Linked DNA regions of Anolis sagrei. The protein of the gene in region 4 interacts with the protein of the main gene of each other region in a biochemical or structural test. Links are inferred from orthologs where the notes say so. Each region holds a gene or a part of one and is shown on either strand. Other genes may lie near its edges. The genes, in order: ESR1, DDIT3, SMAD3 and CEBPB.

Region 1 (8,150 bases), on a different chromosome or scaffold from region 4:
TTTTGTTGCTACTTCATAACTGTATTTTTGCTACTGTTATGAATTGTAATGTAAATATCTGATATGCAGTATATATTTCCATTCACTGGACCAAATTTGGCAAAAACACCCGATATGCCCAAATTTGATTACTGTTGGGGTTGGGAGCGGGGGAATTGATTTTGTCATTTGGGAGTTGTAGTTGCTGGGATTTATAGTTAACCTACAATCAAAAAGCATTCTGAACTCCACTAATGATGGAATTGAACCAAATGTGGCACAAAGAACTCCCATGACCAACAGAAAATACTGGAAGGGTTTGGTGGGCACTGACCTTGAGTTTTGGTGTTGTAGTTCACCTACATCCAAAGGGTACAGTGGACTCAAACAATGATGGATCTGGACCAAACTTGACACAAATACCCAATATGCCCAAATGTGAACACCGGTGGAGTTTGGGGAAAATAGATCTTGCCATTTTGGAGTTGTAGTTGCTGGGATTTATAGTTCACCTACAATCAAATAGCATTCTGAACACCAATGAGAGAATGAAAGAAACACAGAACCCCCATGACAAACAGAAAATACTGTGTTGTGTGATGGTCTTTAGCGACCCCTCTGACTCCCCCCTCGCAACCCAGGGGTCCCGACCCCGAGGTTGATAAACACTGACCTAGACTCAGGCAGTTTGGGGTGTGTGTGTGGGGGGGGGGGGGGAGTAAGCAGGTCTGCTGTAGCTTAAGCTTTGACTGAAACCCCATTGCTCCCTGTTGGAGGAGAGCTTTTGAGTCCATCGCTGCTATCCCAGGGTACTTCAGCAGTGGGCCAGATGGTTGTGCTCATTGTCCAGCAGTGACATGCAGACCTCATGCAGGCTGCAATCCAATTGCTGTAACCAATGTAGTTGTAGCCATTTTTTTTTTGCCAGTCTGAACTGTGCTTATGTTGATGGGATAACTTTTTAACTACTTAATTGGAGAAAATTAGTAAATAAAAGATCAGTTTAGGTCAGACAATGCATACTGTCTGCATTACTGATTTATACAGTAATTTCCACACAGACATGGCAGTAAACTGAAAAACATCTGCCATCTGGATATTCAATTTCGACAAATGTATACTTCTCTAAAAAGGGTAAGGGTTGTTTACTACACCATGTATCTTTGCAAGAAGAGATTGGATTTTAAAATGTTTATGGATTTATTCCAACAGGATATTTAAATCAACTGTGTGAACATTTGCACTGAAAATTTAACCTTAATATTTTTCCAGACATTTGATGATTTTATGAGGCTGTCTAGATGCATTTTAAAGAACTTGCTTTATGGTTTGGGTCCAGGTTACCTACAGGACTCTCTAGTGGCATAGTGGGTTAAACCGCTGAGCTGCTGAACTTGCTGACCAAAAGGTTGGTGGTTCAAATCCGGGGAGCGGGGTGAGCTCCTGCTATTGTCCCAGCTTCTACCAACCTAGCAGTTCAAAAATATGCAAATGTGAGTAGATCAATAGGTTCCACTTTTGCAGAAAGGTAATGACGCTCCATGAAATCATGCTGGCCACATGACCTAGGAGGTGTCTATGGATAATACTGCCTCTTTGGCTTTGAAATGGAGATGAGCACCCCCCCTCCCCCAGAGTCAGACATGACTAGACTTAATGTCAAGGAGAAACATTCTCCAGTACAATCTGCCCCACATGCTTTGGTCCTCTGGTTGGGGGATGGGAGTGGCTACACCAACCAGCCAGAACTTGACTGGCCACTGTCACCCAGAGGACCTTTTCATTGGCTGCCCCAAGACTGTGGAACGACCTACTGGAAGAGCTCTGATAGCTAGATCAGCTGTTAAAATTTTAACACCATCTAAAAACCTGTATCTTTCAGAAAGCTGAAAACATCAATTTTAAAGTCATGTCCTGTTTTGCCTCTGTCTCTGTCCTGTGTGATTAATGTGCATTTTATACAAATGTTTTATCTACCTCTTTTATGGAACTGTATTATAATATGTGTGTTTGTAGAATTTTCATAGTATTCATATGTTTTTTACTGTGCTGTGACCTGCCTCAAGCCATGGGGAGGTGCGAGTAAGAAATAAAATTATTATTATTATTATTATTATTATTATTATTATTATTATTATCATCATCATTATGTGTGATCACTAATGGTCACACTGCATAGCTCTGTTCGGCAGGTGTGTGAGTGGGTGAGCTGCTGGCAACAGCCAAAGGAGACTCCGTAATTCTCACCCACTGTCGCATGTGGGTGATCAATGCCTATGAGGTCTCTCTCAGATGCCAAAGGAGATCCTGTAGGCCTCACTTGCCCATGCACACCAGTGGGCAACTCCTATGAGGTCTCCCTCAGCTGCCGGTAACCAAAGGAGGTCCTGTAAGTTCTGTTTGCCTATGTGTGCCAGCAGAGGAGGCCCATGGGGTCTTCTTCATATGCTAGCTCATAGGTGGGGAAAAGTGTGACTATTAAGTAGTGAACTATGATATTCTATAACAAGTCTTCATACAAATGTATTCTTGCAGATGTGTGCACTTGCCTGTTAACACTTGCCTGTTAAGATCCGCCGGCAGACTTGACTAGTGACCAGTTGGAACTTGCATTTTGTGTGTTCATTTGGGAAATGAAGTAATCATTACGACTTTAACTCTGTGTTACACAACAGATGACACGTGTATGACTGGTTTTTCAAAATTTTCCTCGATCTTTATGTTGCCTCTTCTGCCTTATTTTTTATTAAGTGCTTGCCCCCATTGCACCCAGGCTACTGCTGCTCTCACGGATCATTCCAGTGCCCCCAGGGGGCAATATTGCACTCTTTGGGAAGCACTGCTCAAGATCTTCAAGCATAACATGAGGAAGGTTACACTGAAGGAGATAGTGATTTCCAAGAATTCAAATCTGTGAATAATTTTTCTCAGATCTATGAATAATCAAATCCATAAAAGTCGAAACAGCAAATGTGGAAGGATGACTGTAATATGCTTACTATGGGCTTTACCACACAAGGCAGTAAACTGTAATTTGAACAGGGATTATTGAATCTTTGCCTGAGACTTACCACATTATGTCTCCATGTCTTATTATTCTACTGGTGAGAGACAATTTGGAAGGCATTTCTTTTTATAAATGCAGAAATCTTCATTAAGAAGTAATATTAGAATTAGAAAGCATATGAATATCTGCTTAAATTTATTTAGATTGGATGTAAGAAACCTGTACAGACAAACCTATGTCTGTTGTTTAGAGCTGCATTAATATACTGAATTAAAATCCAATACCTACTATGTGAACATGTATCAGGTAGTGCTAATATAATGTGAAAAAAGAAAAGAAGTGCAAGAATAAGTCATAAAACACATCTACACTACCACATTTATTTATTTATTTATTTACAACATTTCTACCTTGCCCTTCTCAACTCCCGAGGGGGGACTCAGAACAACTAACATTGGCAACAATTTGATGTCATAATATCACAATATACAATAATACAAAAACCATAAATACACAATAGATTAAAACAATAACATGAATTAAACAGTCATAGTAGCCATTTCTATTATTATAACCATCATCATATGGTCCAATTCAATGTCCAAAGTACCATTGTGCCTGCTAGCTAAAAGCCTTGTTCCATAACTACGATTTCAATTTTTTCCTAAAGGAGGGAGGACGCCAATCTAATCTTGCTGGGGAGTGAATTCCACAAGCGAGGGGTCACCACCGAGAAGGCCCTGTCCCTCGTCCCCACCAGATGCATTTGCGAGGCTGGTGGGACTGAGAGCAGGGCCTCCCCGGTGGATCTTAAACTACAAGGTGGAGCTTGGGAGGAACCAGTTTCACTCTGCAGTGATTAGATTGGATTAGTCTGGAACCGATTTGAGACCAGGAAAATGATTAAATTAAACACAGAACCTGGACTTAAACCACTCTGTGCCCCCCCCCCCTCCCAAATTCTCAGAGAGATGTGCATCCATCCTCTGGAGGCATACAGGGTGGAAAAAAAAAGGAACAGGCAGAGGCAAAGATAATCAGTTACCCCTCCCAGGGTACCGACTGGCCCAGGCATGGGCAAACTTGGGGCCTGCGGGTGGTTTGGACTTCAACTCCTGCCATTCCTAACAGCCTCAGGCTCTCCCCCTCAGCCGCTTAAGCGGAAAAGGCCTGAGGCTGTTAGGAATGGTAGGAGTTAAAGTCCAAATCACCTGCAAGGCCCAAGTTTGCCCATGGCTGGGTTAGCCCCATGCTGCCCAACCATGCCCTTGGGGTGCTTCTCGGCAGCCCCTGTTCTGGGATCTTTTTAATGTGTTTCAGTATGGTCGAGTGTCTACAGTTTGTGCTGCATTTTGTGGAGCTGGCATTTGCTGCAGTACCATTTTTTTTTTACTGAATTCAAACTTTCCTGCAATTTTCATTAATGTGCTGTATGCCCTTAAATACACACTGAAGTGTATTACTGGCATGCATTTAGTAGCTGCCTTGGTTTTTTAGTCATTTCAAAGCTACATTTTAGTGTCAGCAGAGATCGGGCATAATGTGATACTAAAGGGTAAGTTTTAAACTTTCACTTCAATGATAAATTGTGGTTAAAACATAATAGCTGTTATGTGAGAAATAGATATGGTTGTCAGTTGTTGACTTTGCAATACATCAGAATCATAACCAGGGAACACATGCTCTTGAGAAGTGAGTCATGCAGGCCATATAATTCTCCCTAATACATCAGCAACAATATTAGTATATAAATAGGGGAGGGGAATAAAATCTACATCTCAGAGTCAAGAGGAGAATGAAAAGTAAGGTCCTCTCGGGTTATCACTGAGAGATATCTTCCTTATTGGATGTCCCCATTTAAATGCAAGGAGACTGAACTCTGCTCTACATAATAGGCGTGCCAACACAGCTGGCATGACTTGTGTGTTTTAAAGTTCATGTCTTCCCTCTGCCTTCTCTTCCTTCGGTCTCACTCTGCCGAGGCTTTTCTATTTTCGTTTACAAGGTCACATGACCCTGTCAGCCAATTGCAGGACCACAGGAGCAATGGAAACTTCTTTCTGGGATAAAAGTAAGTCAAAATAGCTCAGCTCTTTTCCTGTTCTGCTCTTCAAATGCTCACCTTTTTATTGCTCTTTGCCATTTCAATGTGCTAAGCATAAACTCTGGTGCCCGGGGAAATAATTAAAAAGCTTTCTTTACAGCTGTCTTTTTCCCAAGGTCGCTTTTATTTGTGAAGTCCTTTAATATATTTTTTTTGCATAGTGTAAACGTGGCATAAAAAGAAAGAAGGGAAAAAGAGAGAAGGGCATTCATTTGAAATGCTATGAAATGTGTACAGAGGTGCCCACTGCAGGAATTTCCCTTCTGTATTTGCTCCGACAGCACGGCAGTTCCTATTTGCTGGAGATTTGTGTGCCACCCCCCTCCACAGCCCCCACTGTAACCAATCGGGGATCTAAAGAGGAAGTGATTACAGCAAGGATCACATGATCTCATTTTGACCAACTGCACATAAGGTTTCAATCTGAAGGCAGTTTTCTCTTATTCCTAAATAACTCTAGCCTTAAACCAGAGGATTAGCACCTTTCACTTAAAAGGACATTAAGTCACACTCTGCAAGTTGTAACAGGGGCTTGGGGAATGATAAAAAACTTCTGTAGTCATAAAACATTTTTACTATCAAAGAAAAATGTATTAACATTTTAATGCAGCATGATTTTGAATTTGAGGGCTAAAAAATTATTCATTTATTCATCTATACCTACTGCCTATTTGAGCATTCTCTTTTAGCTTTGGCTACATTTTTAAAATTGATATGGTAGAATTTTACTGCTCATATAATTTTGTGTAAATGTTTTGAGTTTGTTAAATATTATGTCTTCTTGAATATATTTTCTTTGTGCAATGTGGTGGTTTCCCCTTTCCCCAAATATATTATTAGTCTTAACATGCAATGACATATTTCCTCCACCCCAAATATGAGACACAAAACATGAACATTTTTATTGGACCAAGCTGACTGTTGGATAAGAAGAAAGTTTTTGAATTTATACAGAAAGTGCCTTAGTTTAAAAAAAGAGGGTAGCCACCTCTCAATGAAAAAAATAGGAAATGTGATTTTACACAATCTAAACCTGTAATAAGGTTAAACTGCTGAGATGCAGAACTTGCTGACCGAAAGGTCGGTGGTCCAAATCCAGGGAGTGAGGTGAGCTTCCGCTGTTAGCCCAAACTTCTGCCAACCTAGCAGTTCAAAAACATGCAAATGTTAGTAGATCAATAGGTAATGCTTTGGTGGGAAGGTAACAGCGCTCCATGCAGTCATGCTGGCCACATGACCTTGGAGGCATCTACGGACAATGCCGGCCCTTCGGCTTAGAAATGGAGATGAGCACCAACCCCCAGAGTCAGACACAACTAGACTTATTTATTATTTATTTATTTATTTCGAGGTTTTATATACCGACCCTCTCACCTTCAAAGAGGGATTCGGACCGGTTCACAACATGTGTTAACATACAAAAAATATACAATAACAACACAATGCCACTTCATTACACGGTTAAAATATCAGCACTATACACGTTAAAACATTATCATCACAGTTAAAAGAGCCAAATCGTCCGACACCATCACAATCCCATTCATCATCCTCCTTTCATGTGGGCAAAGAATTAAATCAGTTGTCAAATGCCGCGTTCCACAACCAGGTCTTTGTTAGTTTCCTGAACGTCATGAGGGAGGGGGCAGTTCTGATCTCTAATGGCAGGGAGTTCCAAAGTCGAGGGGCCACCATTGAGAAGGCCTTGTCCCTCATCCCCACCAGCCGTGCTTGTGCAGGCGGAGGGACTGAGAGCAGGGCCCCTCCAGACGATCTTAGTGGTCTTGATGGTTCGTAGGGGAGAATACATTCGGAGGAAACCTTTACCTTTACTTTACCTTAAACCTGTAATCATTTCAGATAGCTTATGTCTTCAGACTTCAGTATTAATCAATTGACATTTTAATTTATTAAATAATTTACTATGAAAAAGAATACATTAATAGTTGGTTTAGTTGGATATTCTAATGTATTAAATAGGGCTGTGGTTTAAACTAGATTTTTGTTATGTATGTGTGTTACAACACTATGGTGTGTGTGTGTGTTGTAGATGAATAGAAAAACATTCTTTTTTGAGAGGTGAAACAATGGTTTCAGACAGTGAGCAGATTAGCCATCTTGAGACCCAGTTTTATGTTATAATAACACACTGGAATGAAAGCTCTCTGTCCCACCCACAATTTAAAACATACAACCTTTTAAAATGAATTGTGATGATGTGTATCATGAACTTCTACACATTGCCCTGTTGCACAATTATGGTTTCTGTTGCATAGCAATCAAGTGCCCAGTGCTCAATGGGATCCATGATGTTGATTCCATTCCTCCAATGGTCTCAGAAACGTAGTTACGCTTTTGCTCCCCTCTTGAGAATACAAATGTGCAATGTTGCAGTTTTTATGTTGCTGCCAATTTATGGTGATATAAATACCTAATGGAACCTCACATTAAAATTAATGATTAAGCATACACTCATATGCCTGTCTGATGCCTTAAATATAGCATTTGAATGGAGTAGACTATATTTGGAATATGTACTATTTCACTGCTACCCTTCTTCTTGTTGTTATATGCTTTTAATTCAACTCTGATTTACAGTGCCCCTGCCTTAGTCTATTTTTTTTGCAATAACATTCTTCAAAGGAGATTTGCCATCGCTTCATCTAAAGTGAGAGAATGCGGTTTGCCCAAGGTTACCCAATGGATTTCTATAGCTTAGGTGGGTTTCAAATCCTGATTTCATAGTCCATTTAATCTTAGGTTGGTCAGGAAGTGCTCTTTATCAAATCTTTATTTATGCTTGGTAACCAGTATAGAATTCCATCTTATAATCATCTGTCCACATAACCACAGCATTTACATTAGGCTAGGATATAAATTAAAATGTAACACCATTTAAAAGATACTTGAGGAAGAACTTCCTGACTGTGAGAGCCGTTCAGCAGTGGAACTCTCTGCCCCAGAGTGTGGTGGAGGCTCCTTCTTTGGAAGCTTTTAAACAGAGGCTGGATGGCCATCTGTTGGGGGTTATTTGAATGCGATGTTCCTGCTTCTTGGCAG
Region 2 (7,062 bases), on a different chromosome or scaffold from region 4:
AAGACAGATATGTGAGGATTTGGTTTCTAGCATTACTTGCACCAAGAATCAGCAGAACATATTTTTTGGGAAAAGATGTGTACCATCAGAGCCAGCTACTTTAGCACAATAGAAGGTGTAAATAAAGCAGTCAGACACCGTTGTATAATGGCAACAGAATCATGGGAGCTTCAATTTTCCAAGGTCTTTCAACTTCTTTGTTAAAGAGTACTGGTGTCCCCTACTCCCAGGATTTCATAACCTTGAACTATGGCAGTTATAGTGGTGTTAAGATGCATTAATTCTACAGAACAGGTGCACCTAGATCTCTTAGCAGGGTCTTCTTCTCTGCAAAGCTGAGCAGGAAACACCGAGTCTTTACAAACCACAGAACCAAGCTGTGCCCTATCTATTCCCTCTTGAAGCAACTAAAGGACCCACAGTTTCATGTGGGTCCTCAGAATATATTCATCTACTGCCATTTGATACCTCTTTAATTGCCATGGCTCAGTGTTATGGAAAGATAAGAGCTGTAGTTTTACAAGGACTTTAACCTTCTCTGCCAAATAGCCTCAGTTCCTCGGCAAACTACAACTGCCTTGATTCCATAACAGTTAAAAGTAGTGTTGAGCTGTATTACTATCCAACTTATAATTGTACATTTTATCAGCATTGGTGTTTTAATCTTTGCTCTATGATTTTTAGCACTTTTTTTTACAATTGTTTCATCAATGTATCTTGTGCCCTGCATCAATCCGTGAAGAGAGCCGGGTAACAAACAACATTTAATTATATATAATAATTAAATATATTAATTTTATTATGTATAATATGTATATTATTTATTATACAATAAATATATTATTAATAATAATGTTATTTGTTATATATAACACATTATAACATTAAATAACAGAGGTGGATAACATTTAGTATTATTAATTATAATAATATAATATATTTATCTTATATATAATGTACTTAGAATATATTATTAATAATGGTATTTGTAATTTATTATAATGTATAACACTGTATCTATATAAATAAAAATGTAATGTGGGATTTTGTTGTTCATTTGTTCAGTCGTTTCCGACTCTTTGTGACCTCATGGACCAGCCCACCCCCAGCTCCTTCAAGGTCAATCCAGTCACTTCAAGGATGTCATCCATCCATCTTGCCCTTGGTTGGCCCCTCTTCCTTTTTCCTTCCATTTTCCCCAGCATAATTGTCTGTGGGATTAACCTAACTCAAAAGCCACTGGGCGAATTGACACCAAATTTGAACACAATACAAGTATCAGGCCAACAAGTGACCATCACTCATAAAAACATTGAAAAACACAGCGGAAGAGACTTAAAAAGCCAAAAATAAAAAATAAATTACAACGCATGCGCAAAACCACATATATACAAACAGACTGGGCCACAGCAACGCGTGGCAGGGGATGGCTAGTAATATATATAATATAATATCAGGATTCAAATGGCTGGCAGGCCTGGAGGGCCTTTGGGTGCATTCACAGTGTAGATTTATTATTAATATATCACAATATTATTAATAGTGATTTATGTACTTATTATTTATATGTCATATTTATTATTATTATTTATTTAGGAGCCCCTGGTGCCACAGTGGGTTAAAGTGCTGAGCTTGTTGACCGAAAGGTCACAGGCTCGAATCCTGGGAGCTGTGTGAGCTTCTGCTGTCAGCCCCAGCTTCTGCCAACCTAGCAGTTCGAAAACATGCAAATGTGAGATCAATAGGTATTGCTCCATCGGGAAAGTAACGGTGTTCCATGCAGTTATGCCGGCCACATGACCTTGGAGGTGTCTATGGACAATGCCGGCTCCTTGGCTTAGAAATGGAGATGAGCACTACATCCCAGAGTCGGACGCGACCGGACTGCATGTCAGGGGAAAACCTTTACCAACCTATATGTCATCATTTATATTATTTATATGTTATGATTTATATTAATATATATTAAAGTATTTATATTATTTGGTTTATATATCAATAATGATGATGATATATTAGTAGTAATGCTACAGTGTGAATGCACCCAAAAGCCTTCCCTCAGTTTGAATCCTGATTACCGCCTTTATTTACGAATTTCTCTCAGGCCCCTTCCACACAGCTGAATAAAATCCCACATTATGCTCTGAACTGGAATATATGGCAATGTGGACTCAGATAACCCAGTTCAAAGAAGATATTGTGGGATTTTCCGCCTTGATATTCTGGGATAGAGGGCTGTGTGGAAGGGCCCTCAGTTTTAGCATGGGGAATCCTTTATTTCTCTCAGGCCCCTTCCACACAGCTGAATAAAATCCCATATTATGCTCTGAACTGTGTGGACTCAGGCAGGAAGACACAATTCAATCTCTCCTGACAGATGGCCATCCAGCCCCTGCTTAAAGACCTTCAGAGAAGGAGACAGACAGATAAATAAATAGAATCCTAGAGTTGCAGTGTGGACTCAGATGACCCAGTTCAAAGCAGGTATTCTGTGATATTATGCTGTGTGGAAGGGCTCTTAGAGGAGAAGAAATAAAAGGCCTAAAAAAGCCCTTCCCACCCTTTAGCTGAAGGAGTTCATGAAGGCCAGGGCCCCCAGGACTTTTCCCTTCATCGCTCCGCACCTTCCTGCGAATCTCCTTCTCGCCTGTGATGCCGCCTCTCTTCTGCTGCTGGCTCTGGCTCATTCTCCCTTCGATGCTCATTCTCTCCTTCCGTGCGCTTCTGCCGGCGTCCAAATGCCAACTGCCTCCTCTCGCTCCGGGGGCCGGGTAGACGTTCGAGCGCGCGCCGCATGACGCAACTCTTGCGCCACGCCGGACCAATCACCGTCGCCGCTTCTTTTCATCCAATGGCCGTCGTCGCCGTCGCCTTCTGGCCCCGCCTCCGCCTGGACTCTTTTTTTTTTTCTTCCTCCCAGCGGGAGTGAGGTGGAAGCTGCCGCGTCGCTCCCGGAAGTGACTTCTCCTCAAGCTCCTCCCTTTTTCTCCCCGCCCTTTCAGGGTCACGAGTCTGGAAGGGGGTGAGTCATGCGAGGAGGGTGATGCAACGGCCTGGCAACCCGAGGCCCGGGCCCTGACCTTGGCCACCCGCCACACTCGCTTGAACGGACCTTCGTGGCTTCTCCTACCTCCCCCACCCCACTGTTTCCGCGGTTTGGAGGCCCAGTTAGCGCGACTGAAGGGGGACTAGGCCTAGCTACGTTAGGAGAGGCCTTCCTTCGGAGAGGCTTTATGACGTCACGCCCCGCCCCACCTTGTGCGTTAAAGGGCCAGGCCTCCCTGGGGAAAGTGTGGCTGCGTTGGGGAGGGGGAGCAGCACTCCTGCCTCCTCAGATCCTGCATATCCAACAACCCATGGAGATGGCTTGTAGTGGTGTGCCTCCATGAAGTTATTGCAGTTTGACACCCTTTATTAGAGGTTTTTCAGGGGCAGACTGTATGTGGTTAATGCTGGAGCCACATCTTATCTATCTATATATAAATTCTCTGTGCATAATGAGTACCTTAAAAACAAAAGAACCAATGAACGAAATCACACCAAAGGAGTGACCATCACTCAAAAATTATGATTTTGTCATTTGGGAGTTGTAATTGCTGGGATTTATAGTTAACCTACAATCAAAGAGCATTCAGAACCCCACCAGCGATGGAATTGAACCAAACTTGGCACACAGGACTCCCATGACCAACAGAAAATATTGAAAGGGTTTGGTGGGCATTGACCTTGAATTTGGGAGTTATAGTTCACCTACATCCAGAGAGCACTGTGGACTCAAACGATGATGGATCTGAACCAACATGGCACAAGCACTCTATATACCCAAATATGAACACAGATGGAGTTTGGGGGAAATAGTTGTAGTCACTGGGATTCACAGTTCACCTACAATCAAAGAGCATTCTGAACCCTACAAATGACAGAATCGAGGCAAACTTCCCACACAGAACCCCATGACCAACAGAAAATACTTAAGGCTATCCAATCCAACTCCCTTCATCAGGGCAAGAAAACATAATCAAAGTCCTCCTTACAAAGAGCCATCCAGCCATAGATATAGATAGATAGATAGATAGATAGATAGATAGATAGATAGATAGATATGATTCACACACAGAGAGATCTAGTATCATAGATTTGAAAGGGACCCTTAAAGAAGGACAATGATATGTTGCATGTTCCTGGGTGGGCAAACCAGACACTGTCCACATCAACACTGACAAAGAAACAGCAAGAAATACTGTACCCACAAGCATAAAAAAATTACAAATATTGTAAACCAGCACTTTCTCATTATTTTCCAGATCAACAGACTGGGCCACAGCAACGCGTGACAGGGGACAGCTAGTTGCTTTATAATCCAGTTTCTGGGCCCTTCTGCACAGCCCTATATCCCAGAATATTAAGGCAGAAAATAATAATAATAATAATAATAATAATAATAATAATCTTTATTTATACCCCGCTACCATCTCTCCAAGGGACTCCGTGCGGCTTACATGAGGCCAAGCCCACAGTACATCAATAACAACAGCAATAACAAAAACAATACAATCCAATTAATATAAATCACATAAACAATAAACAGTAACACGCAAGCATTTGAAAACCAATGGCCGGGCCAAATGTAATAATTTAAAATTTAAAAAATAATGCTGGGCATGAACAAGGTAAGATATAACTGGGATAGGGTTTTCAAAAAGAGATGAGGGAACGCAATCAGTCCTAAATCAGTGGCAAAGTGCATTTTGAGGGCATATTGCTGAGAGTTTTCCTTATTCTGGGAAGGCACACTGGAACAACCACGTTTTCAGGCTCCTCCTAAAGACTGCCAGAGTTGGGGCATGTCTGAGGTCCTTGGGAATGAGTTCCAGAGTCGGGGGGCCACCACCGAGAAGGCCCTCCCCCTCACCAATCGTGCCTGCGAAGGAGGTGGGAGCGCAAGCAGGGCTCTCCAGATGATCAAAGAGATCGTGTGGGTTCGTACACAGAAATGCAGTCACGCAGGTAGGTGGGTCCCAAACCGTTCAGGGCTTTGTAGGTAAGAACCTGCACCTTGAATTAGGACCGGAAAATGAACGGCAGCCAGTGGAGCTCCTTAAACAGGAAGGTTGACTGCTCTGTAAGAAGCACCAGTTAGTAACCTGGCTGCCACCCGTTGTACCAATTGAAATTTCTGGGCCGATTTCAAGGGCAGCCCCACGTAGAGTGCATTACAGTAATCCAACAAACCAAAAATCCCACAAACCAAAACAGTTGTATTGCATCAAAAACAAACAAACAAAACACAAAGTTTGCAGACTTGGTATTCTATTAAATGTCCTTTGACCATTGGAGTGCCTCTGGTGTTGCTGCAAGAAGGTCCTCCATTGTGAATGTGGCAGGGCTCAGGTTGCATTGCAGCAGGTGGTCTGTGGTTTGCTCTTCTCCACACTCGCATGTCGTGGATTTCACTTTGTAGCCTCATTCCTTAAGGTTGGCTCTGCTTTTAACTGGGTTATCAGAGTCCACACTCAGATCATGTGGGATTTTCTGCCTTGATATTCTGGGATATAAGGCTGTGTGGGAGGGCCATAGGAATCCAGATTATCTGCTTTGAATATGATTATTTAATAAGAATAATAGAATCTTTGAGTTGGAGGAGATCTCGTGGGCTATCCAGGCCAACCCCCTGCCAAGAAGCAGGAACACTGCATTCAAAGCACCCCTGACAGATGGCCATCCAGCCTCTGTTTGACTATTAATAATTAAATTGTTACAATTATTAATAATAATATTTTTTCATAGCTCTCTTAATGGCTCAAGGCGGGTTACAAAACAATTAAAATACATAAGCACAGCAAAACACTATAGATACACACACACTAAAACTTACCTCCATAACAGTTACGAACCAAAACGTATCTCTATGAAATACATATTAAAACACAATACCAATTAAACAAAGGGCATGCATTAAAATTCATATTTATGTTTAAAGGCAGTCTGGGAAGGCCTGTCGGAAGAGACAGGTCTTCATTTGTGCCTTAAATTCCAAAAGCAGATTTAGCTGTTGGAGCTCTACCGGCAGATCATTCCACAATCTTGGGGCGGCCAATGAAAAGGTCCCCTGAGTGACAGCCGCTAGTCAGGTTCTGGCTGGTTGGAGCAGACGCCCCCTAGAAGACCAAAGTGTGTAAGGCGGATTGTATGGGAGAAGGCAATCCTTTAGGTAACCTGGACCCAAACCATGTAGGGCTTTAAAGGTCAAAACCATACCTTTATACTTGGCCCGGAAACGAATTGGCAGCCAGTGGAGTGACTTTAGGATAGGTGTAATATGCACACTCCTAGATGATCCGTAACCTGGCTGCCGCATTTTGAACCAGTTGAAGTTTCCAAACTTGGTACAAGGGTAACCCAGTGTTAAGTACATTGCAGAAGTCCAACCTTGAGGTTACCAGTGCGTGCACTACCATCTTCAGGTCCTCCAAATCTAGGAAGGGGTGGTGCTGGCGGTTCAACCGAAGCTGATAGTGAGCACTCCTGACTATTGCATCTACCTAGGCTGACATTTGGAGAGAGAGATCCAGGAGTACTCTTGAGCTGTGAACACAGTAATTCAGGGGAGTGTAACCCCATCCAGAACTGGTTGACACCTCCCCACCCCCAGATCAGGATCTTTGATGGCAAGCACCTCTGTTTTGCTGGATTCAGTTTCAGTTTGTTTTTCCTCATCCAGCCCATTACCTCTCCAGGCATTCATTCAGGGGAGGCATGCTATTCTTAGCTAAAGCTGTTTTTAAAGGCATGGAAAAATATTTTTGGGTGTCATCAGTATACCGATAACACCCTATCCTGTTCCTACAGATTATCTCTCCCAGAAGCTTCATGTAAATATTAAAGAGCATTGGGGATAGAATGGTACCTTGTGGAACACCACATAACAGTTCCATGCTGAGTCCACAGTGCCATATAATCCAGTTCAAAGCACATAATCTGGGTTCAGAAACTGGATTACATGGCAGTGTAGATGGGGACTCACTCAAGGTCATTTGATAGGTTTCCAAAAAGCTATGCCAT
Region 3 (7,923 bases), on a different chromosome or scaffold from region 4:
CCTGTGTAAGCCGCATCGAGTCCTTCGGGAGATGCTAGCGGGGTACAAATAAAGTTAATAATAATAATAATAATAATAATAATAACATCCCTGTTTGACACCTGATTCCACCTTAAATGGGAGATGTAGTTTGATAAGGTCTGTAGCTTTCTCTCTTGAATAGAGAAGGCAACATCAAACTACATCTTCCAGGGTTCTGTAGCATTGAGCCCTGGCAGTTCAAGTGGTGTCAAACTGCATTCCTTCTGCAATGCAGGTGCACCCTTCGACCTCGTAAAACTACAACTCCCAGAATTCCATAACACTATGGTGACTGAAGTGGTGTCAAACTGCATTAATTCTATGGCATAGATATGTTACCCTATGTCTTCAAAGCCCAGCCATGCAAACTATTTTGAATCACTAGCTATTGACTGACTCCAGAAATCCTCCGTCCCATAAAAATGTCCAAAAAATGCAAATGTGTTCCTGGAGTAAAGACTCTCCTTTAATCTGCATCCAGCAGACAAGGAACAAAGAGTCATTACAGGGCAGATTCAGGAAAACAGGGCTCCATTCATAAAAATAAAAAAATATATTGACTTGTGAAAGACTTTGGGGTAGAGCTTTTTCACCCCCGCTCCTTGTTCTTTAAACACTCTCTCGGATATGGAATGCCCAGTTCGAGAAGGAAAGGGAAGATTTTTTAAACAGATGTGTTTTGGCGAGGCAGCGAAGGCAAACACTGAAATTATATGGGAGGAACAGACGGTTGTGTGCAGGGATTACGCAAAAAGAAGGGAGTGAGAGGAAAGAAGGAAGGAGAAAGCAAAAAAAGTCAAGGCAGGCAGAGAGGGAAGAAGAGAAGAGAAGAGAAGAGAAGAGAAGAGAAGAGAAGAGAAGGAAAGAAAGCAAGGAGAGAGGAAGGAAAGGAAGGAAGGAAGGAAGGAAGGAAGGAAGGAGGAAAAAAGCAAAGGAAGGCAGAGAGGGTAGAAAAGAAGGAAGGAAGGGAGAAAGGAAGGAAGGGAATCGAATCAAATTTCCTTTCCTTTATTTTTGGGGCCAAGAATTGATCCCTGAATGCATGTTGTCCCTTGCCATCCGCATTCATAGGCTGACCATTTCGTAGCTGATTGAAGAACATTGTTTCCACTCCACTTTTATTTATGTGTTAAGAGACATATGTGGGTGTGTATAAATGTGTGTGTGTGTGTGAGATACACACACACACACATACACACACACACACACATACATATAAGCTAGACACATAAAACCATTTATTAGGATCTCCAAAGTTTAGTTAGTTTTGTTATTCCGGGGCTGGGCAGCTCAAATTCTCCGCAAAAATATTAGCTTTATTTTAAGTGCTTTTCCAATACATCAGCTGCGGAGAATGGCAATGCACTTTTCCATCTCAAGGCCCCAGAGACTTTGCGTATATTCGTATTTTGCAGAAAATGCAAGCTCTAGGAGGTGCTGAAAAGCCGTCCTCGTCATTGAAAAAAAAGGGCAAAAACACTTCGATTTACATAATCCCCAAAGGCACCGGCCAAAAAAGAAAAAAGGGAGTCCAGACGGTGTAAAAGTAGGACGGTTCTATCCTTTTCCTTCTCTTCTGGTGAAGTTTTCCATTAGGAAAGTGTCCAGAAACTCATTGCAAGAAAGCACCGCTGTCTGGGGAAAGGACTGGCCAACCTTTTGGGATAGGAAACTCCACAGCCCTTTGAAGGTCCTTGGACTGAAAGTCCCAGCAGCCATGACCAAACATAGGTTAAGGGAATGCTAGGAGTTGTAGTCCATCTACATCTTTGATGGGTGGGGGATGTTTCTCACTTTGCTGCATTTGCAGGTCAATCATATAGTTTGCAGATATTTCTTATCTGCCACCACCATAGAAATGAGACCCAAATGGAGTCCTTGTTGTTTCTTTATGCTCGTTTAAAGTTGTTAAGAACTTGTTTAGGGTTGTTCAGGGTTTGTTTTGCACATTTAGTGCCTTTTTAAGATTGTTCAGGACCAGTTTTGCCCATTTGGTGCCTTTTTAAGGTTGTTCGGTGCCTGTTTAGCGTTGCTCAGGGCCCATTTTGCCCATTTGGTGCCCTTTTAAAGTTGTTTGTAGCCTGTCTAGGGTTGTTCGGGGCATGTTTTGGCATTCAATGCCTTTTAAAGGTTGTTTGGAGCTTTTAAAAAGTTGCTCAGGGTCTGTTTTGCCCATTTGGTGCCTTTTTAAGGTTGTTCGGTGCCTGTTTAGCATTGCTCAGGGCCCATTTTGCCCATTTGGTGCCCTTTTAAAGTTGTTTGTAGCCTGTCTAGGGTTGTTCGGGGCATGTTTTGCCATTCAATGCCTTTTAAAGGTTGTTTGGAGCTTTTAAAAAGTTGCTCAGGGTCTGTTTTGCCCATTTGGTGCCTTTTTACGGTTGTTTGGAGCCTGTTTAGGGCTGTTTGGGACCAGTTTTGCACATTGTCTTTTTAAGGTTGTTTGCAGCCTGTTTAGGGTCCTTTTGGCCCAGTTTTGCCCATTTGGTTCCTTTTAAAAGTTGTTTAGAACTTGTTTAGGGTTATTCAGGGTCTGTTTTGCCCATTTGGTGCCTTTTTATGGTTGTTTGGAGCCTGTTTCGGGTTGTTTGAGGCCACTTTTTCCCATTTGGATGGAGACCAAGTGAGGGAAATGACCAGCTGTTAGGGGCTGTGGGAATTGAAGTCCAAAACACCTGGAGAGCTGACGTTTGCCCATGCCTGGTCTAAAATCAGGTTGTCTACTTGAACACAGAAGAAGAAGAAGAAATAATAATAATAATAATAAGGAGAATGAGAAAGTTAAGTTGGAGGAAGAAAGCCAGAGAGAGAGAGAGAAAGCAAGAAGGAAGAAAGGTGAGAAAGGAAGCAAAAGAAAAGCGATAGCAAGTAGAGAATGAAAGACGACACAAAAAGAGAAAGAGAAGAAAAGGGGAAGGAAAAGGGGAAAACAAAAGAAGAAAAGATAGAGAAGAAAGGAAGCAAGCGAAGGAAAGTAAAGAGGAAATGGAGAACGAAAGATCCAAAAAAGAGAAAGAAAAGACGAAAAAGAGAAGAAGGGGAAAACAAGAGACGAAGGAAAGATAGAGAAGAAAGGAATGAAGCAAAGAAAGAAAAGGGGAAATTGGGAACGATAGACAATAGAAAAGAGAAAGAGAAAAAGAAGGAAAAGTGAAGGAAAAGGGGGAAGTCAAGGTGGGAAAGGAAGAGAAGAAAAGAAGGTCGCCAAAGAGAGAGAAATGATCAAGAAGGAAAAGAAAGTGAAACAACACAATAATAAAAAGGGAGCTGCAAAGGAAGAGAAAGGGTTTTTGTTGTTCATTTGTTCAGTCGCTTCTGACTCTTCGTGACCTCATGGACCAGCCCAGGCTAGAGCTCCCTGTCAGCTGTCACCACCCCCAGCTCCTTCAAGGTCAAGCCAGTCACTTCAAGGATACCATCCATCCATCTTGCCTTTGGTTGGCCCCTCTTCCTTTTTCCTTCCATTTTCCCCAGCATCATTCTCTTCTCTAAGCTTTCCTGTCTTCTCATGATGTGGCCAATGTACTTCATCTTGGTCTCTAATATTCTTCCCTCCAATGAGCAGTTGAGCTTTATTTCCTGAAAGATGGACTGTTTGGATGTTCTCGCGGTCCAAGGCACTCTCAGAACTTTCCTCCAACACCACATCTATATTCCTTCACTCAGCCTTCCCTATGGTCCACCTCTCACATCCGTAGGTGACTACAGGGAATACCACTGCTTTTACTATGCGGATCTTCGTTGAAAGGGTGCTGCTCCATTATCTGGGTGGAAGCCACAAGGGGGCAATGGAGGGAAAAGGATAGTCCATTTTACACGAGGGGGCGGGGGTGGCAGATTGAAGGAGTAAATCTATTTCCTCCAGTGTTATCCCCCTTACCCATGTTGCTGTTGTTATGACATGGGAAGAATGGAAATGGGACGGAAATAGTTTCCGCCCTACAATTCCCCCCTTGGAAAATGGACTATCCTTCTCTGCCTGGCACCCCCTTGTGGCCTCCGCTGGGATAATAAGAAAGTGAATGCGAGAAGAGATAGACCAGGCATGGGCAAACTTCGGCCCTCCCTCCAGGTGTTTTGGACTTCAACTCCCACCATTCCTAACAGCCTACCGGCTGTTAGGAATGGTGGGAGTTGAAGTCCAAAACACCTGGAGGGAGGGCCGAAGTTTGCCCATGCCTGGTCTATCTCTTCTCGCATTCACTTCTCGCATTCACTGGCTGTTAGGAATGGTGGGAGTTGAAGTCCAAAACACCTGGAGGGAGGGCCGAAGTTTGCCCATGCCTGAGATAGACAAAAAATGAGAAGGAAGCAGAAAGGGAGGAAGAAAAAGGGAGTTCAAAACAAAGAGAGTGAGCAAGGCAAAAAAGTGAAAAGAAAGGAAAACAAAGGAGGTGGGAGAGAGGGAGAGAAGCTAAGAAGAGACAAAGAGAAGGACCAGCAAGTTGAACAAAGGGAGGGAAAAGGAGAAAGTATAAAAAAGGGAAAGAAGAGAGAACAAAGGAGGGAAGAGGAAGGAGAGAGAGAGAAAGGAGGTCGAGAAAGGGAAAGAGAGGGAGGCAGCGAAGACAGGAGGAAGAAAGCAAGAGAGAAAAGGGAAAGCAAGGAGGCAGCCTCCCCCTCCCCTTTTTGCTCAGACTAGAAAGGGGAGGGGGAGGGGAGAAGGGGAGGGGCTTGCCCAAGCCACGCCCCCCTCCTCCGCGTGGGAGCCCCTCCCTCTGCCGCCGCCGCCGCCGGAGAAGTCGGGACAAAGTTTTGGAGCTGGAAGAAGAGAAGGAGAAAGAGATAGAGGAGGAGGAGGAGAAAAAGAGAAAGGAGGAAGAGGACGAAGGAGAGCTTCGCTTCGTCCGCCTTCGGAACTTGGAGCCCCGAAGGAACCCGCCGGAGTTTGGCCTTCCCCCTCCCTCACTCCTCTCTTTCTTTCTTTCTTTCTTTCTTTCTCTCGCTCTCCTTCCCTTCCCCTCCTCCTCTTTCCTTCCTTATATTTCCTCCTTTCTCTCTCTTTCCTTTCTCTTTCCTCTCTTTTCCCTTCTCCCTCTTTCCTCCTTCTTTTCTCTCTCTTTCTTCCACATTTCTCTCGCTCTCCCTCACTTCTCCTCTTTCTTTTTCTCTCCTCCCTCCCTCAATCTCTTCTTTTCTCTCTACCCCTCCGCTCTTTCCCTTTCCTTCCATATTTCTCCCGCTTTTTCCTCTTCTTCTTTTCTTCCTCTCTTTCCTTCCCTTCTTCCTCTTCTTTTCTCTCCCTTTCCTTCCTCCCATACTTCTCTCTTTTTCCCTCGCTCTCGTCTTCCTCTTCTTCTCTCCTTCCTCCTTCCCTCGCTTTCCTTCCTTCCCTTCTTTGCTTGTTCCTCTTCTTTCTCCTTCCTTTCACTCCTTCTCTATCCTTCTTTCCATATTTCCCTCTCCCTACCTCCTTTTTTCCTCTTCTTCTTTCCTTCCTCCATCTGTCTCTGTATTTCTCTCTCCCTCCTTCGCTTCATCCTCTTCTTCTCTCCTTCCTTCCTTTTTCCTTTCCTTCCACCCTCTCCCCTTTCTTCCCCTCCTCCTTCCCCTCCTTTTCCTTCTATCCATATTTCTCTTTCCCTCCTTCTCTTCTTCCTCTTTCCTCCCTCCCTCCCTCTTTCCTTCTTTATTCCCCCTTCCTCTCCCTCTTTTTTTCTCCTTCTCTTTCCTTCCATATTTCTCTCTCCCTCCTTCACTTCTTTCTTTCCTCTCCCTCTTCTTTTCCTCCTTCTTTCTTTCCTTACATATTTCTCCCTCCTTCGCTTCTTCCTCTTTCCTCCCTCCCTCTCCTTTTTCTTCTTTATTCCCCCTTCCTCTCTCTTCTTTCCCTCCTTCTCTTTCCTTTTCCCCTTATTTCTCTCTCCCTCCTTCACTTCTTCTTTCTTTCTTTTCTCTCCCTCTTCTTTTCCACCTTCTCTTTCTTTCCTTCCATATTTCTCTCTCCCTGCTTCGCTTCTTCCCATACTTCTCTCTTTCCTTCCCCTCTTACTTTCTCTCCCTTTCCTTCTTTCCTCTCCTCTTTCCATCCACATTTCTCTCCCCCCCCCCTCCTTTGCTTCTTCCTCTCCCCCTCCTCCTTTCTCTCTCCTTCCTTTCTCCTTCCTTCCTTCCCTTTGGCCAACATGTCTTCCATCCTGCCCTTTACGCCTCCCATCGTGAAGCGGCTGCTGGGCTGGAAGAAGGGCGAGCAGAATGGGCAGGAGGAGAAGTGGTGCGAGAAGGCGGTCAAGAGCCTGGTCAAGAAGCTCAAGAAGAGTGGGCAGCTGGACGAGCTGGAGAAGGCCATCAGCACCCAGAGTGGAGGCACCAAGTGCATCACCATCCCAAGGTGGGCCCCGTGCACACACAAACAGAGCAGGGTTGCATCCACAGTAGGCCTTGGCCAACTTGGGCCCTTCCAGGTGTTTTGGACTCCAACTCCCACCATTCCTCACAGCCTCAGGCCCTTTCCTTTTCCCCCTCAGCCGCTTAAGCGGCTGAGGGGGAAAAGGAAAGGGCCTGAGGCTGTGAGGAATGGTGGGAGTTGGAGTCCAAAACTTTGGTTTTGCAGGAGGGTTATCCAGCTATAGCACATTTTCTAATAGTTTTTCTATGAATCTCTCATCATTGAGTCTCAACCGATGCAAACTACTTTGTGGCAGCCACGAAAACAGAGTTTCTGGAGTGCAATAACTTCTTTCAAAGTCAGGACCACACAATTAAACAGGAAATAACACTTTCAAACCAGGAAAATAACATTTTAAAAGTTTGTTACGTAGTGTGACGGATTTGATTCCAAATGTCCTCTAGGAATCTCTAGGGCATGTTGATGTCATGCCTTTGAGGCCTGCCTCCTTTTGTGCCATGGTCATACCATTTTTCTAAGAGTCACACAATATATGTAACATAGGTAAAAGTAAAAGTTTTCCTCTGACATTGTCCAGTTGTGTCCGACTCTGGGTTGTGGTGCTCATCTCCATTTCTAAGCCGAAGAGCCGGCATTATCCGTAGACACCTCCAAGGTCATGTGGCCAGTATGACTGCATGGAGTGCCGTTACCTTCCCGCTGGAGTGGTCCCTATTGATCAACTCATATTTGCATATTTTCGAACTGCTAGGTTGGCAGAAACATACAACACATTACGGTTGTAATACATGTATATACCTATGTATGGTGTCCCCGGTAGCACAGCAGGTGAAACAGCAAAGCTGCTGAACTTGTTGACTGAAAGGTCGGCAGTTTGAATTTGGGGAGTGTTGTTGAGCTCCCACTGTTAGCCCCAGTTCTGCCATCTATTTATTATTATTACTATTATTGACATCATTATTATCACCATCATTATTATTGACATTATCATCATCATCATTATTTTTTATTGTTGACATTACTATTGTTACTCTTATTATTGTCATCATTGTTGATATTTTTATTATTGTTACATGTACATGCCTGGCTGAGGGGAGTTGGACTAGATGCCCTTTGGGGACCTCTTCCAATGGAGTCTCCTCTAGAATTTTTTGAACTGAGGTTGAGTGGCCATCTGTTGGGAGGGCTTAGACTGTATCTACTTACCTGGCTGAAGGGGGTTGGACTAGATGCCCTTTGGAGACCTCTTCCAGTAGAGTCTCCTTCTCTAGAATTTTTTGAACTGAGGTTGAGTGACCATCTGTTGGGAGGGCTTAGACTGTGCCTACCTACCTGGCTGAAAGGGATTGCGTTGGATTAGATGCCTTTATGGAGACCTCTTCCAGTGGAGTCTCCTTCTCTAGAACTTTTTGAACTGAGGTTGAGTGACCATCTGTTGGGAGGGCTTAAACTGTGTCTACCTACCTGACTGAAGGGAGTTGGATTAGATGCCCTTTGGAGACCTCTTCCAGTGGAATCTCCTTCTCTAGAATTTTATGAACTGAGGTTGAGTGGCC
Region 4 (7,265 bases):
TATTATTATTATTATTATTATTATTTGAAACACAAATTATTATTATTATGGTCCTTTGTTTTATCCATTTTCAGAAAAGGTTAAGAGACCACAAAAACTATGCAGTTCAAACTCCTTGCCATAAACCAAAGCACTCCTGATAGATGGCCATCCAAACCCTCCAGAGATGGAAACTCCACTGTCTTTACTTGCCTCAAGCTGTGAGGAGAGGCAGATAGCAAATAAAAGTTATTATTGCTATTGTTGTTATTATTATTATTATTAGTTCTACAGTGTGTAGATCAGGTATGGGCCAACTTGGGCCCTCCAGGTGTTTTGGACTTCAAGCCCCACAATTCCTAACAGCCTCTGGTCCTTTCCTTTTCCCCCTCAGCCGCTTAAGCAGCTGAGGGGGAAAAGGAAGGGGCCTGAGGCTGTTAGGAATTGTGGGAGGTGAAGTCCAAAACACCTGGCAGGCTCAAGTTGGCCTGATACATGCTCAACTCCCTAAGGTGCTAATCTCCTCTTTGGCAGACCTTGGGAAACTGCAGCTCCCAGGTTCTAGCAGCATCGAGCCATGGCAGTCAAAAGTGGTCTCCAACTGAACTGAACCACTGGGTTGTTGTGAGTTTTCCGGACTGAACGGTCATGTTCCAGAGGTCTCACCACCTCTGAGGATGCCTGCCATAGATGCAGGCGAAATGTCAGGAGAGAATGCTTCTGGAACATGGCCATACAGCCTGGGAAAGCAACCCAGCAACCCAGGGCCCTTCCACACAGCCTTATCTCCCATAATATCAAGGCAGAATAACCCACAATATCTGCTTTGAACTGGGTTATTTGAGTCCACACTTCCATATATCCAGTTCAAAGCAGATAGCGTGGGATCTTATTCAGCTGTGTGGAAGGGGCCCCAGTGATTCTGGCCACGAAAGCCTTTGACAACACATTGAACTGAATCAATTCCACAATGTACAAACTTCTCTTGGTGATAGTATGATAGCTGGGTCCGGAAGCTCTGAGCATTGTGCACATTCCGCAATGGCGGATGCGGATAAGGGAAGGGGAGAGCAGAACACTGACGCTGGGAATATACTTAGTAGTTGCATTTGGTGGAAGGACAGAAAGGAGGGGAGAGTTAGGATAAGGTTTCGGGTTAGGGTTTGGGGTAGGGTTAGGATTAGGGGTTAGGAGCTAGGCTTAGGGTAAGGTTTAGGGTTTGGGTTAGGATTAGGGTTTGGGCTAGGATTAGGGGTAAGGGTAAGGTTTTGCATAAGGGTTAGGGTTTTACCATTAAAGAACTCTTACATTCCTTCTATAATATCTGTGTTTGTTCTGCGTTGCGCAAACAGTGCTCCCAAAGGAGCAGAAACAGCGTAAGGCTCAGAGCTTCGGACCCAGCTATCATACTATCACCTTCTCTCTGCCATGCGCTTTGGACTTCAGCTCCCAGGACTAATGTGCGGGGAATTTGGGCGCTGAAGTCCAACATGCTGGGCCGGGAAGAGTTTGAGAAAGTAGTCTAAAGGAGGCCTCCTTGGAGAAGAAGGGAAGGCAGGAAGAAAGGCAACACAACAAATCCACAAACCCCAAACTTTTCCATAGAATCACAGAGTTGGAAGAGCCCTCATGGGCCACCCAGTCCAACCCCCTGCCAAGAAGCAGGAAAATGGCATTCAAAGCACCCCCGACAGATGGCCCTCCAGCCTCTGTTTCTGCATTCCACTCTGGAGGAGGAAGAGCCCTTTTGGCTTCTCTTTTTGGCATCCTTTGCCCCCCCCCCTCCTCTCCCCAATCCCTTTCCCAGCAGGGAGTCCAAAGGGAGGCCGAGTCTCCGCGGGCTAGCAGTGCCCGGCGTTGGCCAAGAGGGGCTCGGGGAGCTGCTTGAACAAGTTCCGGAGGGTGCCGAGCTCCCGGGAGAGCTGCTCGACCTTCTTCTGGAGCCGCTCGTTCTCGGCGGTGAGCTCGAGCACCTTGTGCTGCGTCTCCAGGTTGCGCATCTTGGCCTTGTCGCGGCTCTTGCGGACGGCGATGTTGTTGCGCTCGCGCCGGATCTTGTACTCCTCGCTGTGCTTGTCCAGGGACTTCTTGGACTTGCTCTTCCCGCCGCCGCCGTTGCTCCCTCCTCCCGAGGCCGCGTAGTGGTTGCCTCCGGACTTGGAGGAATCCGAAGGGTTGGGGGTCCCCGGCGGGCTGGAGGAAGAGGCGGTGGAAAGGTTCCCGCTGCTCCCGCTGGGCACCGACTGGTAGCCCAAGTAGGAGCGGACGGCGCTGCCGTAAGGCGAGGAGAGGCCCCCGAGGGCCGCCGCGCCTCCCCCGCCGGCGTCCTCCTTGCGCGGGCCGGCTTTGCACGAGTCCAAGTGCTCGAAGACGGGCTCCACTTTGGTCTCCACCATGTGAGGCGAGAAGCAGCCCAAGAGAGAGGCCTTCTGGCCCTGGTGGAGGTGCGGGTGGTGGCTATGCTTGGCCAGGCTGATGTAGGTGTAGTCGGGGTGCTGCTGCTGCTGCTGCTGGTGCTGCTGCTTCTTCCCGGCTTTGTAGTCCTGCTCGGAGAAAAGGTCGGAGAGGAAGTCCGGGTTGCTGCTGCTGCTGCTGTTGTGGTTGTTGCCGGAGGGAAGCGGCTCGAAGTTGCCCCCTGCCGTGGCCGCGGGTGGAGGAGGCGCGTGCTGGTGCGGGTGCTGCGAGGCCAGCGGGTCCAGGTAAGGGCTGAAGTCGATGGCCCGCTCGTGCTCGCCCAGGCTCAGCTCGGACATGGGCCGCGGGGCCCCCACGGGCCCTCCCCGCGCGTGCAGCTTGCTCACGGCCGCCGGCAGACAGTCCGTCTCGTAGTAGAGGTTGGCCACTTCCATGGATTTAAAGGCCGAGGGCGGGAGAGGGAGGCATGCCTGGTCCCAGGCCACCAGGCGTTTCATGAAAGCTCCCAAAGCCCCGAGTCCACGCAGGGAGGGAGCGAGGGAGGGAAGGGGAGCCGCCTCTCTCTAAACCCTCTCTTTCGTCCTTCCCTCTCCCTTGCTCTTTCCTTTCCTCCCAAGGTTTCACGCTGCCTCCTTCCCTTTCTCTTCCTCCTCTTCCTTCTCCTCTTTGCTCTCCTCCTCTCTGGACTTTGTTGGGAAAGTGCCTTGGCGCGCGGGTCTTTATAGGGGCGGCGCGTCCCATGGCAACCGCCACACGTCACGGGCCCGCACGCGCCGCCCGCCTCCCTCCTGCTTTCCTCAAGCCTTCCCTCCTTCCTTTCCTTGCAGAAGGAGGGACGCCCAAGGAGCCCGGCGCGCCTCTACTGCGCCTGCGCAGAGGGCTGGCCCAAGGGGGAGGCTCCCCAGCTCTTGGCGACGCCTCCCGTCCCGGGACACCGCCTCCGAGGTCTCTGAACCCGCACGGGCTCAACTCTCCGCGGATTGCCACTTATAGGATCGTATAATAGTGTCCATTATCTACAAATGCAAAAAATCAAGACTCAAGGTTGGGAATGTCTGTATATGTGTATCACATTCACTTATTCCAAAAATCAAGGTGTGTGTGTGTGTATATATATATATATATCTATATATATCTATATATATCCATTCTGTATAGGATAGTATAATAGTGTCCATTATCTACAAATGCAAAAAATCAAGACTCAAGGTTTGGTATGTGTGTGTGTGTATCACATTCACTTATTCCAAAAATCAAGGGGTGTGTGTGTGTATGTGCCAGCATGTGTGTGTGTATACACACATACAAATTCCCACCTTGATTTTTGGAATAATTGAATATGCGTTATATGTATACACACCCACTCAGTTTGGGAATGTCTGTATATGTGTATCACATTCACTTATTCCAAAAATCAAGGTGTGTGTGTGTGTGCCAGCATGTGTGTGTGTATGTGTGTGTGTGTATCCATTCTGTATAGGATAGTATAATAGTGTCTATTATCTACAAATGCAAAAAATCAAGACTCAATGTTTGGTATGTGTGTGTATATCACATTCACTTATTCCAAAAATCAAGGTGTGTATGTGTGTGTGCCAGCATGTGTGTGTGTGTGTGTGTGTGTATACACGGATACAAATTCCCACCTTGATTTTTGGAATAATTGAATATGCGTTATTCAACACACCCACTCCTTGATTTTTTGGACTAATTGAATATGCACGTTTATATATAGATAGGTAGATAGATAGGTAAAGGTGAAGGTTTTCTCCTGACCTTAAGTCCAGTCGTGTCTGACTCTGGGGGGTGGTGCTCATCTCCATTTCTAAGCTGAAGAGCCAGCATTGTCCATAGACACCTCCAAGGTCATATGGCCGGCATGACTGCATGGAGCGGTACCTATTGATCTACTCATATGTGCATGTTTTCAAACTGCTAGGTTGGCAGAAGCTGGGATTAACAGCAGGAGCTCACCACACTCCCCGGATTCAAACCTGCGACCACTGTCATTACTTGCAACTCTCCTCAGCTTGCCACTATTCCATTCTGTATAGGATAGTATAATAGTGTCCATTATCTACAAATGCAAAAAATCAAGACTCAAGGTTGGGTATGTGTGTGTGTATCACATTCACTTCTTCCAAAAATCATGCTGTGTGTGTATGTACACGCATACAAGTTCCCACCTTGAGTTTTTGGAATAATTGAATATGCATGTTTTATATGTATGTATGTATGTATGTATGTACATATCAGATAGATAGATAGATAGATAGATAGATAGATAGATAGATAGATAGAGTCGTATCTGACTCTGGGGGGTGGTGCTCATTTCCATTTCTAAGCCAAAGAACTGGCGTTGTCTGTAGATACCTCTACAGTCATGTGGCCGGCATGACCGCATGGAGTGGTACCTATTGCTCTACTCACACTTCCAAGTTTTCGAACTGTTAGGTTGGCAGAAGATGGGGCTAACAGTGGGAGCTCACCCCGCTCCCCAGATTCAAACCTGCAACCTTTCATGTTTATACATATTCAAATATTCCAAAAATCAAAGTGGGAATGTGTGTGTGTGTGTGTGTGTACATATATTTCAATTCAATTATTCCAAAAATCAAGGTGGAAATATGGGTGTATGATTCCAAAATTCAAGGTTGCAATGTTTAATTTTTTGTGTTCGATTTTAGCCTGTTCTTGTAAGCCGCTCCGAGCCCCAGGGGAGTGGCGGCATATAAGTTCAAATAATAAATAAATAAATATATTATTTTATTCCAACCTTTGTCTTTGCATTTGTCTATCATTTAGACATTATTTTGCTACCTTATCTGCCCCGCCCCCAAATATCCACAGGTTCTGCATCCATAGATCTGACCAAAAATGTATATCCAAGCTTGGTTTTTGCATTTTAATGGACACCAATATCATTGCATAGGGTGGGCCACATCATGTAATGCATTTTTCATATGTGAATGATAGGGGTCCCCTGATGGTGCAGCAGGTTAAACCGCTGAGCTGCTGAACTTGCTGACTGAAAGGTTGGTGGTTTGAATCTGAGGAGCAGGGTGAGCTCCTGCTTCTGCCAACCTAGCAGTTAAAAAAAACATGCAAATGTGAATATATCAATAGGTACTTCTTCTGCGGGAAGGTAACGGCGCTCCATGCAATCATGCCGACCAAAGACAACGCCAGCTCTTTGGCTTAGAAATGGAAATGGAGCACCATCCCCCAGAGTCGGACATGACTAGACTTAATGTCAGGGGAAACCTTTGCCTTTTCTATGGTGTTATTAAATATGTAACCCTCTTTATGACTTTTGGCTACCCTGTTTATAATGTGAGTTGTATATAATAGGAACCAAATCCCAGTAGATACCGAGGGCCACTGAAATAAAAACAAGATGTGGTTTGATGGCAGAGCGTGGGGGGAGGTCATTTCCTCAAGCATAAGATCCAAGGAGGAAAACGTTGCAACTTCTCTGCCTGAGAGTCTGTTTTCTTTGATGTGGGAGAGATCTTTGCAAGTGACTTTGGACAGACAGATCCATTTGGAGCACAGATTGGAAAAGGCACCATCAATTTGGCATCGTTCTACTTTTTAAGAAAGAAAGGATAAAATAAGAATTGTCTTTAGTATTGTTCATGTGGCAGAGTTGTCCTACCAAGCTCAATGGGAATTTATTTATGTGTCCTAATAGGAAGTGATGGGCAATGGAATATGCTGCCTTCTCAGAGAGTGGTGGAGTTTCATTCTCTGCAGGTTTTTAAGCAGAGGCTGAATGGCGATCTGTCAGGGGTGCTTTCATTATATGTTCCTTCGTGACAGAATGGGTTGGACTGGATGGCCTTTGTGGCCTCTTTCAACTCTATGACTTCATGAAATACACCTAAGACCACTGTGCCAGTGGGTCGCAATATGTTGAGGCCTCCGCAAAGTTACTTTCTAGAGAAGGTCTAGTGGTAGCTGTAGCTCAAAGAGGAACTTGGCCAATCTCTGGTGAAGAGGAAGTCCCATTGGAAACTGGCACACCCAGCATTCTATTCCTGGAGAGTGGAGATGTCAGGAATTTGGAAGAAGGGGAGAAATGCAATACCTGGCATGCACTCTCTGCCCTTCTTGCTAGATACTGTTCTGAGTGGGAGCCGTGGTTGCGCAATGGGTTAAACCCTTGTGCCAACTGACTTGAAGATCTGAAGGTTGGCAGTTCGAATCTGCAAGTTGGAGTGAGCTCCTGTCTGTCAGCCCCAGCTTCACATGCAGGGACAAGAGAAAAGCCTCCCATAGGATGGTGACACAGCCGGGCCTTCCCAGGGCAACATCCTTGCAGACGGCCAGTTCTCTTACACCAGAAGCGACTTGCAGTATATTCTCAATTCACTTCTGACACAATTAAAAAAAACTGTTCTGAGTCCACAAGTAAATGGATCCAGTTCACCAAATTTGTCGTAGTTTCCTTTATGTGTTTCAGGCCGCAGTTCAAAACATGCTTGCTTGCAGTCTTCCACCAACCTTATTGCTATTGTTTTGTACCTTCAAATAATTTTCGACTTCTACTGTTTTTTCTTGGAAAGACTTGTCCAGAGAGGGTTTTCCTTTTCCTTCCTCCAAGATTGAGAGAGTGTGAGTTGCCCAAGAACCTTACTGAGTTTCTAGGTAAAGCAAAGGTTCAAACCCTAGTCTTAAGCACAACACCCCAAACTACTACATCAGCTCCCATTACGCCAGATAAACATAGTCATGGCAAATGGGAACGATGGAGTTGTTAGTCCAACAGGACACCAAACTGGGAAGGAACTAAGATCCATCAAATGTAATTGAACTCATTTTGGAATAAGCGTGTAGAGTGTGCTTTCAAGAAGGATGAATTGAAACGC

What was found.
Region 1: the proteins of CEBPB (region 4) and ESR1 form a complex in vitro, tested with the Homo sapiens proteins (2 studies listed by BioGRID and IntAct). The link is inferred for Anolis sagrei from reciprocal best matches to the Homo sapiens genes CEBPB and ESR1.
Region 2: the proteins of CEBPB (region 4) and DDIT3 form a complex in vitro, tested with the Homo sapiens proteins (2 studies listed by BioGRID and IntAct, with this or other methods). The link is inferred for Anolis sagrei from reciprocal best matches to the Homo sapiens genes CEBPB and DDIT3.
Region 3: the proteins of CEBPB (region 4) and SMAD3 form a complex in vitro, tested with the Homo sapiens proteins (2 studies listed by BioGRID and IntAct). The link is inferred for Anolis sagrei from reciprocal best matches to the Homo sapiens genes CEBPB and SMAD3.

Annotation. Positions count from the first base shown.
Region 1 is NC_090021.1:72,370,391-72,378,540, reverse strand, and holds the start of ESR1 (estrogen receptor), read left to right. Parts: upstream 1-4,981; 5' UTR 4,982-4,996; coding exon 4,997-5,057; intron 5,058-8,150.
Region 2 is NC_090022.1:185,996,789-186,003,850, forward strand, and holds the start of DDIT3 (DNA damage-inducible transcript 3 protein), read right to left. Parts: upstream 3,075-7,062; 5' UTR 2,561-3,074; intron 1-2,560. UniProt on the Homo sapiens protein: Multifunctional transcription factor in endoplasmic reticulum (ER) stress response. Plays an essential role in the response to a wide variety of cell stresses and induces cell cycle arrest and apoptosis in response to ER stress.
Region 3 is NC_090029.1:24,707,375-24,715,297, reverse strand, and holds the start of SMAD3 (mothers against decapentaplegic homolog 3), read left to right. Parts: upstream 1-4,716; 5' UTR 4,717-6,143; coding exon 6,144-6,349; intron 6,350-7,923. UniProt on the Homo sapiens protein: Receptor-regulated SMAD (R-SMAD) that is an intracellular signal transducer and transcriptional modulator activated by TGF-beta (transforming growth factor) and activin type 1 receptor kinases.
Region 4 is NC_090024.1:222,094,390-222,101,654, reverse strand, and holds the start of CEBPB (CCAAT/enhancer-binding protein beta), read right to left. Parts: upstream 3,140-7,265; 5' UTR 2,892-3,139; coding exon 1,821-2,891; 3' UTR 1-1,820. UniProt on the Homo sapiens protein: Important transcription factor regulating the expression of genes involved in immune and inflammatory responses. Also plays a significant role in adipogenesis, as well as in the gluconeogenic pathway, liver regeneration, and hematopoiesis.